Linked DNA regions of Drosophila melanogaster. The protein of the gene in region 1 interacts with the protein of each later gene in a biochemical or structural test. Each region holds a gene or a part of one and is shown on either strand. Other genes may lie near its edges.

The links.
Region 2: the proteins of dpr18 (region 1) and DIP-zeta form a complex in vitro, tested with the Drosophila melanogaster proteins (one study listed by BioGRID).

What each region holds. Positions count from the first base shown.
Region 1 is NC_004354.4:16,061,774-16,069,923, forward strand, and holds the start of dpr18 (defective proboscis extension response 18), read left to right. Parts: upstream 1-1,964; 5' UTR 1,965-2,045; intron 2,046-2,107; 5' UTR 2,108-2,336; intron 2,337-3,628; 5' UTR 3,629-3,778; coding exon 3,779-3,926; intron 3,927-4,593; coding exon 4,594-5,034; intron 5,035-5,850; coding exon 5,851-6,026; intron 6,027-6,941; coding exon 6,942-7,155; intron 7,156-7,217; coding exon 7,218-7,542; intron 7,543-7,599; coding exon 7,600-7,724; intron 7,725-7,790; coding exon 7,791-7,921; 3' UTR 7,922-8,150. Other genes in the region: CG12395 (uncharacterized protein), read right to left, coding at 237-1,001.
Region 2 is NT_033779.5:9,067,989-9,072,910, reverse strand, and holds the start of DIP-zeta (Dpr-interacting protein zeta), read left to right. Parts: upstream 1-1,746; 5' UTR 1,747-2,079; intron 2,080-4,922.

The DNA.
Region 1 (8,150 bases):
CGGTCATTGAAGATGAAAGTATTTTCATACGACCCTTGATCTTTCATTTCAATGACCATTTAAGACATTTCAACTATTAACTACGCTTATCGATTGCCAATTACCAATTATATGAATATATTGCCATTGAATTGCCAAGACTGTGTCTATATCGTAATCTATTTAACCGATAATCGGTAATTTAGATTCACAATCTAACAATAATTAACTTTTTAATACTAATTCCGAGATTGCCATTAGATGTTAAAGCCGTCCGCATCCAGATGGGTAGGCGATGATGCTTGCGTAGGACTTATATGCTTCTGAATTAGGGAGTTCTTTCCATCGTAAGCAAAGAAACAATTGGTTGCGTTGCTAGTAGCTCTCTTTTGAGGTTGTTTACCCATCTGCATTAGAAGTTCGTCGATCCGTTCCGTTTTCAATTTAATAATACTCTCCATGTGGGTCAATCGCTGTTGATAGGCATCGATAATAACATCTTTTGCATGACTATCACGTTCCACTTTCTCGTACAGCGAATATAGGATCATTTTCTGCGGCACCTGAACTATGCCATCGCCGATCTGTTTGTTAACCACAACAGTTTTTATCTCATCATTTTCCTCCCAAAGTTGTTCCTGCCGCAATGCCGCATTTCGTTGTTCTGCAAGGCGTTGTCGTTTCTCCAATCGTATCACTTCATGCAACATGACTTCGGCGGCACCACTAACACCATTCGCCATTTGCTCCATAAAATCTTTAGTCAACGTCATATTTAACTTGGATAACACTTTAAAGTTGAATGTCTCCCAATTGGCCAACTTCAGCTGAACACTACTCTTCTTCGGATAATTGAAGAGATCCACCAAGCGCGGATAATCGCGTTTGAATATTTCGGCCAGCGGCAAAACATCGGAAAACTCGCGACGCAATCTTTGAGTGCTAATACTATTTTGTTGCATCCATTTGTTAACTTCCTCTAACTCTTCGCGGCTCAGATTCTTGCCACTCACGATATGCATCCTTGGTGATAATGATATGATATGCAATAGCAAAATCAATTTGTAAATATGGTCTCGGCTTTATTGTTGTGTGGGTATACACATATTAAAATATCCGATGTGTCTGAGTTTGAGTCTGAATCGGCTAAAAGATTCAACTACAGTGAGTGCAAATCCAAAGCATCCTTTGGGTAGGAATCTTAAATATGGGATAGTACGGTAAAAGCTATTATATTGGGGCATTATTAATACCCCTTTTATTCTTATTTTGAGTCTTGGAAAATTCCCATTCAAAGTCTTCTATGCTTTCGTATTTATAAGTTTCTGTATGATTTGTTTGCCGACAACACCGTAGATTCAATCCCTACTTTTTGGCCTACACTGCACTGGAGTATAATACTTTTCAGTATACACGTATTATTGTATCTTATAATTTAGATCATCAGTTATCTGTTATACTACTTACCGATGTTATACTAATACAATTAATGTATAACAGCAAATCGCGTTCAAGAACACAAGTTTGCTATTTGTAAGCACTGTAAAATGTAATGTAGAAAAGTTTATGTAAAGTATATTACGATTTAAATGCGATTTACTTGTATAGCTTATAGTTAAAAAATTCTACCATGTTAATTATATTCATATCAAATAAAAAGAAATTAAGATAAAAAAAACCTTTGTTGATTGGTATTTAAAATAATTAACTACTGAAAAATCGATTCATTCACTTAGGAACCAACTTTCGCTACCAGCTCATGAATTTCCCAACTTCAATAAAATCCCTGGTGAAAGCTTTGGGACAGACCTTTCTTTCCCCAACTAGGGGAGATGTCCCGAGCAGTGTTGAGTATCCGTATGGACTCAACAGAAATCCCCTTTGAGTGACTCACTCACTGGATTCGAGTGTGCAGACAAGCTTTCGCTCATTTGTGTTCGGCTTTTCATTTGAACGCTTGGAATGGAGTCCAAAGTTTTTGCCAACGACAGTTCATTACGGTTTTCAAGGATAAGCGATACCTACGTGCTCGCCGGATAGAGCGCATGTGAATATAACGCACCAAAGTACATCTGCGTATTTCCTACCGTCTTTATAACATAGTTTGAGTAAATTATCTTTTTTTCAGTGTGTACACAAATGTGTTAATAATAAAATCAAGTATAAACTTCTGTATGCCTGGATAAAGTAATATTTTTTTGTGCATTTTTTTTGTTGTTGTTGTTGCTAACTCAATGTGCCAGTGTATTTTTTTTGTACAAATGTGACTTGTGCCAACAGAGCAAGGGATTTACTAATCGCCGCAATTCCAATCAGGTATCTTGAATGGTAGACAACACAACACATCGCTGCACATGGTAAGTGAAATAGGGATAGAAAAAACGGCTGTCAAACTGCATGAATATTTAAGGGACCAATTAACTGCTGAGCTTAATCAAAAATTCCAGTAAAAAGTTAATCAAATAATATAAATAATTTAATTTAATATAAATTTGTGAAGTTCCAACTAGTATTCGAAAAATGAGACTATTACGTTTCGTTAGCTTTTTATAAATGAATGAATCCGCCATGGGCAAAAAAAAAAATATTAATCTTGCTGCCACAGATATATCATTTTCGATGGGTGTATAGACAGGAAGCTTAGATTATGGTAGAGGAGACGAACTCAAAACGAAATAAGAAAAAATGCCGCTGGCAAGTGTCCCAAAAAGCAAATTCCACGCTACTCACTGGTCTGCTACCAAATATATTGAATCGTTTTTTTATAATTGACAAAATATAATATCCACCGCAAAACAAATTCATTTTTCAACACCTTTAAGTTCGTTTTTGTTTCACAATAATATTTTGTTTTACGTTATTTTAAATTCCAAATTCCACAAGCCAAACACATATGCGCTTTTCATGGCCAGCAATTTTAAAAAGCTTAAAAATTTTAAAAATTATTCATACTTCATACTAAAACCGGGTCGTGTCGCACGGCGCATTTTTTCGTTATTGTATTTGTTTTGTTTTGCATGCCTTGAGCCAAGAATTAATAGTCAGTCCTCCTCCATTATTTGAATAGTTCAGTCCCATGGGCCTAGAGATGCGCTGATCAAACCATTGTTCGAGAGCCTTTAACGTCCCCCTCATAACCTTCTAAGCAAAATCTATAGCCTGCCCCATTAAACTGGGTCACACAGATTCACAATATCTTCAATTTTTACTGCGCTTTAATAAAAATGAACATAGAGTATCAGGCTTTAAGATGTTTTGGTTAGTTTATTGGGCTTATACATAAGTGCTTTTTTGTTATCCATCGGCCACTTGGCAAAACCAACACAAGAAAAGAAATAAAAAAATAGTAGTGACATAAAAATGTGAGAGCAGATTTTTGTACATATAAATGTATCAAGTGTTGTGTCCCGAAGCTCAAGCATTAGGTCACTTTTTCCCAAACTTTTAAATGACTAACATAAAACACTGCAGACAAACCAAAGTTCAAAGTAATTTGTTTGCATTTATTATAATAGTTGTAAGAGTAAGAACAAAGAAATCATTTTCCCTGCAATTAATTCACTTATTCTTGATATGCATCAGCATCCTTGTGGGTAGAAACTCTTGAGCAAATGATTTTCCTTGAATACTTTACTACGTTCTCTTGCAGTAATTTAAATGGTAAAGAAAAGAGGGAAATATACGCTGAGCCATCGACAAGATTCAGTGCCAGAAAGCAGCTGAGTTTTCTCGGAACTAAGATGAAGGTTACTGATTTCTCTCGAGCACATTCCGTAAGTCACGTCGCCCCGTGCAAAGGATGAGGCTTCCGAAAGGATATAGGACACTATCACCAGCATCGAACGCTGCCCAGACGCTACCACTCTCCTACAATTCACAAACCAGTCTGAGCCTTCTTCGGCTGCTCACAATTGCTCTGGTGATTGGATCGCAAGTTCAAGTTCTATGTAAGTGTAGCCCTTAAGTTTCCCTTAACTTTGTTTGCAAAACAGCATTTAAATAACCCCGAAGCCTTTGTTATGACTCCTTTTCCCATGTTTTGTGCTCTTTACTTATCAAGGTAGCATCAGTTAGGGGAAGTTCAATTATTCTTAATGGACCGGGTTTTCTTAGAAACTTACAACGGATATTTAAACATCAAACTTTCTAATTCGGACAATTTGGTAGAAAACTGGGTATATAATACACTTTTCATTCATTTGCGGCTAGTAAAATCTGAAATATTTTGTCATGGGAAGCAAATATTGAAAATATGTGTGTTAAGTTAAATGGAAAAAAGAAAATAAGAAACTATACCATAAAGTCTTGGGCATCCAACGAATAAAACTTTGTAAAAAGTTGTGGCTTAAAAATAATACTACAGATTTACGTCTATAACTACAGAGTACGAATTTAATATTATTCAGTATATAGTTAGGACCTTTATTTCTACCAACCCTACTATATTTTTACCTATTTAACAACGTAACCAAGGTTGTAATTAGTCCTAAGCCCATGAATATAGCATATTTGAATAAAGCCAATGGGGTAATTTAAAAATGGTTAGATATTTCTGAGGAGCTGAGCTCTTGTTTAAATATATTTTTTCTTGCATTCTTCACCTTTTCAATTCAGACACGACATCCGTCGAAACAAAATCCCCCTCCGCAAGTGAACAATCCAGAAACGGCGAGAATCGTTCATTACTTTTTGATGACTATAATAAAACTAAATCGACATTATCAACTGCTGATTACCTGTCAGCCACAAGGGCAACCCTTTACGCGTTTTCATCGCAGGATCAGGACGAGGACCATTCCCAAATGCCAATCGAGGCGTCTAACGCTCCGCACAGCCCCATTCCCACGAAAATGAGTCGGGGTAAAATACCCATGGAGACACCGGGCAGCATGGAGTTTAGCAGCAATAGCCTTCCAATCAAAAATGTAGGGACAACTGATCAGCTGACGACTGTGACCATGCCCACCACAGCATTCGCATCCCTAAAAGTCGACAGAAGTACCATGAAACAGCCAATTGATTCCACACGCACGAGGAATCATTGGACAGCAAGTGGTAAGTGGGATAGCTTTGGTATTATGCAGAACAGCATATAGCAATTGTACAAAAGTACGTGTATGAAAGTTTTTAGCAAAGTTTTCATCGTAAATATTGCATTTTTGGCAACAGCCATTTGATCGAAACAAAATTAATAAATGTCTAAACATGGATTGCCATAACACGTCAGACTCGTTATGAAATTTCAAATCGACTGGCATTCAAGTTTAAAAATTAAATTTTTTGACTTTTTTTTGGTAATTTTGATAAATTTTCCGAAATTTTTTTCTAAATCCGGCAAACAGTATTATGTTTTGGCATGGCTAAAAACCTGCATAACACAGTTGTTTCATTAGCTGTATAATAAATTTAAGCCGAATACGGATTAAAATAAATCACGGAAATATCGAATTCTTGCATAAAGTATTTTCCAGATTTTCGCTACACTTTTTCTGATCAAAACATTGAAAATAATAATAATAATATGGAATGTCATAACTTCTAATTTAATTTTAAATTTTTAAAAATGCGTAATTTTTTGGATTTTTTACCTTAAAAAACGAGGAAATTAAAAGATAAATATTTTTAAATTGGTGATTATAAATAATGATTGTTACCGTTGGAAAAAGGTGGTTTAAAATATAAAATGAGGCATCTTCAAAGAAAACGAACGGATGTACATAAATACATACATATGTATATATGACATTCTTCAAAATGAATGCGGCAACCCCTACGTGTACTACGTGCATACATACATATGTATGTATGTAGTATATATGTATATTCTTAATTTCGATTTAATTTTTCGGAAACTTTTTTAAATCTTGGCAGGATTCGCACGTGTCACAGAACGACCACGTAGCAAGCACCACCACGAGCACCACTGGGGACCCTTTTTTGAGGAGCCCATCAACTCGGCAACCTCGGGTGACAACCTCGTTTCCGCCGTACATTTGTTTACGGAAGCGGTGCTCAATTGCCGTGTCGGTATGCTCAAGGATAAAACTGTAAGTGAACGCCATTTTGATATGTACGCAGATTCATATGTACATACCTTCGTACGTACATACCCATACATACATATACATGCATACATGCACGTAAATAAATATCTATTGTTCTGCACAGTTAATTGATTTCACAAATGATGAAACAACCGAAATAATTGGAAATAAATTAGCTCTCACTACCTATGTGTTCACGGATTTTATTTACTTTATTTACTGTTTTACTTTATAAGACAAAACAAAAAGCAAGTTTTTAAGCCATTAAACCCCTTTTTTGAATAAATATAATTTAGTTACTATTCAATTTGATTGCCTTTCTTAATATGTTTACATCAAACATACAATGTATGTATGTATGCATATGGCAACAAAAAACACCCACCGCCACCACCATTGCATTGAAACTCATTTGTGTATGAGTACTTTTTTACGGATGTGTGTGTGTGCAATATCGGTAAACCAATAAACGCACAAAAATTTGCCCATTTAACCATAAATATTATATTTATTACATACTCATTACACAGGCCTGCAAGTACTCACTTATTATCATTTTACCTAATTGTTGGCACTTTTAGGAGCAACGAAATGTACAAAAACTGATTTAATTTAATTGTTTCGCGGCAGCCATTTTCTTTACCGATGCTCGCAAAATATGACAATGAAATGAGAGAGAATAAGAAGAAGCCGATGAGAGAGCCTATTTTCTTTTCAGCTATTCTCATAATTCGATCCTCCCGTTTGTTTTTGTTAAACCGATAGTCGTGAGAGAGCGCTTTGAGAGAGATAAATGTGTAACGTGTTTTACCGTTTCGACTATTTTCTTTTACTTATCATATGTACGAACATACATATGTACATATATGCCCAATCTTGCGGTTACTTTAAATAAGATTTTGAATTTCCAACTTCCAGGTCATGTGGGTCAGGCGAACGGCAGAGAAGGTATCGCTCCTGACCGTTGGCAACGTGACCTACAGTGGAGACCCGAGAATTCGGGTGAAGTTCCAGTACCCGAACAATTGGCGATTACTTATCAATCCCACGCAGACTGAAGATGCCGGAGTTTACATGTGCCAGGTTTCCACCCATCCCCCCCGGGTATTCACCACAAATCTCACTGTCTTGGGTATGGATACCACCAATTCTAACCTTATAACGAATCCTACATGGCAAGTTTTCCGCTTTCAGAACCCCCCCTGAGGATAATCGATGAGCACGAGAGGGACGTGGGGGATCGTTATTATAAGTCTGGAAGCACCGTCGATCTACAATGCCAAATATCGCGTAGCTTTTTCCAAAAAGAACGTCAGACCATTCTAAAATCAACCGATTCTGCAAACGATGCTGTACAGAAACTAATCAATGAGACGACTAGTGAGCTTAATCTAATTGGCAACGTAAATCAGACGCAACACAAGTTCTCTGGCCAGGATCTGGAGAAATACTTCACCAAGTTTATAACCTGGGCAAAGGACGAAGAACCACTGCAAGGAATGACCAATAGGCGCTTAAGGTAGATTACAAACGATGCAAGTCGGAATTCCTATATACTGTGTCCTGTGTATTGCAGCGTTTCCGATGTTTGGCTAACCAGTCGTATCTCCATTGGAGATGCCAAACTATCCGATAGTGGCAACTATTCCTGTTCCCTTGGCAGACTGTTCACCGTAATTGTCCAAGTTCAAGTGCTCACAGGTAATTAATTAGTGATTGAAGTTTCGTGAAAATCATTTCCCTGATATGTTATATATATCTTTACAGGCGAACTACCCGCAGCTGTTCAGCACAATATTGGTTCAAGAACCGAAATCTATTCCCTTGCGATGTTGGGTCATCTCCTTGTACTCATTTTCCTCTTCACTTGCCTGAAAACCGAAAATCGACATTTCTGAGGCTTTAATCTGAGAAGGGACTGCGGAAAACCCCATAGCCATTCGATTTTCACAAACAATTAACCAATAATATTAGGTATAAACGAGATTGGCTGGTTCTAAACAACGGTTTTAGTTTTAAAGTTGAGAATCAGAAGGTGATTTCATTACATATTTTTGTTATAGTGCCTACGGTGTATAAGACTTTAAATTTGTTTGGACAAATATTCTTAAAAATTTGTTTAGAATT
Region 2 (4,922 bases), on another chromosome or scaffold:
GCAGACTTTGGCTAAGTACCAGAGAAGGAGGTCCAATATTTCCGACCGGTTTTGTATACTTTTTTTCCATTTTGTTTAGCTCTGTCTACTTAAACTCGCATTGAACTGGAAGAATAACATTGAACAGCAAACAATCAGCAGTCAAAAATTTCATTGTTAAGGCGGCAGCGGGAAAAAATAGCAAAACAAGTAGAGGGGAAAAACAGGAAACTTTCGGACAAGGCGTGAAAAATACAAAAAGACTGGGAAAGAGAGAAAAAAACTTTTTCCATGGTGAGAAAAACTTTACAAAGCAGCCAACAAAGTGTTGTAATGGCTGGCATCCAAAGGGATCCCCCGTCCAACGCTTGACTTTTGACCCAACGAAGCGAATGTGTTGCAACGACCTTTGTGGCCTTTCCGCCTCCGCCTCCTCATTCGCCATCACCTAATCCACCCGCTCCACCCACTCTTCCTGTTTTGGTCACATCCTGGCGCAACAGTCGACCACGCCCACTCGCCGCCCTATCACCTCTGGGATTCCCCCCACAATGAACTTGCCAAGCGATGGTGCACGTTTCTCCTTGGGTGTGTGGTGTGTAGAGGAATCCCAGGGAGAGGGTCACAGAGCAGTCATCTTGTCTGCCGTCTAGCCTTGTCAGTTTTAATGTTTTTGGCATTGAGCGATGTCTGTGATTTGAAAGAGTTCATTAAGATAGTTCAGTATGGCCAACAGGGAGAATTCATCACTCTCATATCGCATACAATCCGTCTATATATAGACTAACTTTCAGACGGATATGCATCGTTTTTTTTTCCTTCTGCACAACTGACCAGTGCTTGTCGAGATGATTACAGTGCCCTTAAAACAAGGTCTAGTTAAAAAATAGCAAAACTTTTTTCGTGCACCTAATTTAATAGGATAAAATCATCATGAAATACTTCAAAAAATAAGTAACTAAAAATATTATCTGTCTAACCATTCAAAAATACCACTGTTAACTTTGAAAAGAACTTCTTAATTAACCGTCTACCAACTGACAACCAGCTTTGCTAGCTCAGTCAGTCATAAAACGCAATTATCACCCTCAATTAGATGGTCCTGCATCAGCGAAAATCGAATAAGCAACGCTTGCAAATTGAATATCTCAAATTAATTGCACTTTTTTCGCTCAACATACGCACATGGACTTGAAATGAAATGCAAATAAATTTAATTAACTTGTCTAATTAAATACTTGGCTCCAAATAGCAATATGCAGCAACCAACGGAAAGCAAAAATGTGTTTTGATTTTGTTTTCATTTTATCTTAATTCAATTATTATTAAAAGGGTACAGCTTCAGCCGGAACGAGCCAAAAAGGTTCGACGGCGGAATCGGCATGCAACTCGAACTTTGAGAGGTGATTTTGGGGCATGGTGTTGCAGGTTGGACTCTGTTAACATTTTTGTCGCGTGTTTTGCGGTCTGTTGTTGTGGTTGCGGTTGCACGCAAACAACAAGCCTCCGAACATAACAAGGATACCGGACATAACCAGCAACCGGCAGCAACAACTACCAATGAACAGCATCCAGCGTCCTTTGGTTGGCTTAAACCGAAGCTACACTTCGGCTCGCTCTGTCGGCCGTCGGCTCGTCCCCGCCTGTTATCACTCGGCCAACGCGGCGTATACGTAACAGCACTTCCCATTCGTTAGATTTTCCCTTATTGTTGTTGGTGGAAAGCCAGAGCCCGGCTCTGTGCGAGCATTAGGTTTCGTCGGCAAATCAGTTTCGCTACGGATTCTGCACGAAGCGGACGCGTTTTATCGGTGTTACACTGAAAGATCCCCGGCAAAGGGAAAGTCGTACTCAAGTGTCATGTGATCGATGCCAAATTAGAAGCACCTGACTCAATGTGATCGTGTTGAGAAATGACTTAAAAGTCGAGCTAAAAAACTTAGGTCCACTTGATTATAAAATTTAAAAAAATACCAAAACTTGTAAGCGTTTTATTGAAAGATTACAATTTGTAAAAGTGGTTGAAAACTTGGTATATCATACGTAACACAAAACTAACCTACAGAATTAAATATTCACAAAAATATTCTTGTAGTTACAGTATGTAAATTAATTATTTCAATACATGCAATTCATACTATTAAGGTCTTAAACAGAAGAACAATTTGATCATCGGAAAAGTCTTTTTTATTAATAATTCATAGAATAGAATAGAAACTTTATAAAAATATGGAATTTTAAATTTAACAAACTTTAGATATTATTTATAAATATCAGTGACAGAAGTATATTAAATCGAAAGTTCCAACAATTTTTAAAAGTGCGAGTGCCGGTTAGGATAAGTAATTATAAGCTATGTTAAAAATTGAAAATGCAATAAGGAGTTGGTTTAATGCGTTTGTTTCGTTACGCTATATATTATATTTATGTATAAAATCTTAATTACAATATATAATGTAAAAGGTTTATGTTTGGGACTGCAGATCATTCAAATGCAATTAAAGACTTCGATTTATCTTAGTGCGAGTATTTCAAATAACTGAACTCCATTTAATGGTTAACCACAGCTACAATCCAGACCACAAACTCACATGTCACTTGTCAGGCCCTCGAAATGGGTAAACAATTAACAGTTAACTCTGCTAATGCACATTTCATGCCAACAAAAAGTAAACAAACAGCGAGACTATCTCCAGGACCCTCGAAGTCCTTAAATCCCGAAAACTGGCAGACACGCACACAACGCCATTCTTCAATCTGTGAAAAATTCCCAAACAAACTTATATGCGAATAAATGAATCCACTAGAGTTCACTTTGGGACAACTCGCAAAAAAAATAGTCGAAGGGGAAATTTGTTGCGATTGATAAAGGACAGCAGTTGTTGCCACTGCAACGCAATGCACAACACACAAACACAACCGAAAACAGCAAGGCAAATATAAACAAAGAATTTAGCTTAAAAATACATTAACCCACTGCATCCATGAGAATCAGGATATGCAGGGAAAAGGGCCAGGACCCGACTGCCAACTGCTGAAAACTTGCATACTTAATGGAGTAGGAGATAGAGACAGACAACGCAGAGAGTACAGTGGGGCCTATGTGTTACTGGACACAACTGTATTCCAAATGCAGAATAAGTCTTTGAGTATGAATATTGTCAAAGCTCATTGTAAACGTTTCTTAGCATTTTGTTACAATTTATTAAAAAAAAAAAATATTAAAGAGAAATATTTAATTACAGTATACAACATTGGAAACTAATAGAAATTGTTGTAAAAATACTTTACATAATTTATTCAATATACCAAGACTTAGAATGGATCCACCACTAATATCAATATATCGGTTCTTATGGTCCAAATATTTTAATTCCATTTAATATATAATTAAGATTTAAATTATTTCATATTTATAACATATGTGAAATGATTCATTTTGTTGGGTATCCACTGTACAATGGTATGTTTTGCATTCAGGCATCATTGCAGATCAATGGCAATATGGAGCTGATACAGTTTGAGTAAGACACGTAAACACACAGAGCAGAAGAAGGATGGGAAACTCATGGATGTCAGCTGTTTCAGAACTTTTTTCAAAAGCTAGTGAAGAGAGGGCTTATTGGTTCTTTATTTATTTCCATCTTTTTTGAATTCTTTTTTGAGTTCAGCTTTGTTGCGTTTTGTTTGCTCGAGTTCGGTTTGACGTTTGCAGTTACAGGAACTTTACAAATTGTGTAGAGTAAAACAAACAAAATAGCAAAACTTTGATGCTGCTGATGATGATGTCGAAAATATGTGTGAGCTTTGATCATAAGTGCATATTTATTGGTGCGTTTATTTGGTAAATTTAGTTTCTATATTGCACTTCTGAAAATATAATAGAGTACTTTATCCAGATAAAATCAGAGTTAAATTGAGTCTAGTTAAGCTTGTATTATCCGAATAAATAGTAACGTGAACTAACGAATTTTCGATAAGGGAGAGATGTAAGTCCTTAAATAAAACCAAATTAAATCGGAATTTTATTTTCATGTATTTGTATTGTTTGCTGCCAAAATATAAGTGATAGGTAACAGGCACAACCTTTCTAGCTTGCTTCTTCTTTGAAGAACCTTTTAATGTAAATAAATTCGGCCATAGGTAAACATATCTTAATTCAATTTCGGCCTCCTTTGTGCTGCTTTCTTTTCTCCCTTCAATTACCACAAAACCATGAAGGTTAAAAGCTGTCAGGCATTTATAGAAGCTTAGGAGAAATCCCCTGAGAGCTAGGAACATTTTTTTTGGGCTAATGACTATGTCAGGATTAATTTACGTTTACACAGAATCTTTTAAAAAGAAAATTTAAACACCCAATAAAAAATATTATAATGGCTATGAACTTAGTCAGCATAAACAAATAAATGTTATTGTCTCTTTCATCTACGCACCCGTTTAGTTAAGTCCCTTTAATCCCGCAACAATTATAAGCCAATTTGTTTTACCAAAAAGTTATCATTATAAAAACAGCAAAAACCAAACAAACACTAAATAGCCCCATTAAAATTTAATTTCCTAGCATAAAAATACAAGAAAAACACATTCGGAACAAGTTTCTCCCTCAACAATTTATTAATTTAATTACAAACACTTTGCCAAACTCATAAAAAAGTGCATAAAATTTGTTGGACTTCTTGTTCTTGTTTCTGATGGTAAATCTGTTTCGGTCCATACCAAAAAAGCTTTATCATGTGTGCGTGGTTTTTGGGGGAAGAGGTGGAGTCAAAATTGCTTAATTTCATAAGCGAGTCATAAGGGAAAAAGTTTTGTCTCTGTGTAAGTGTTTCGCAAGCTGCGTGTGGACCCCCTAAATAGCTGAAGGCGACACGCTCAAAAGCCATAAAAAATACAATTTTTAAGAGAAAGTTTTGAATGAGATGGCCAAGAAACAGCAACCAGAG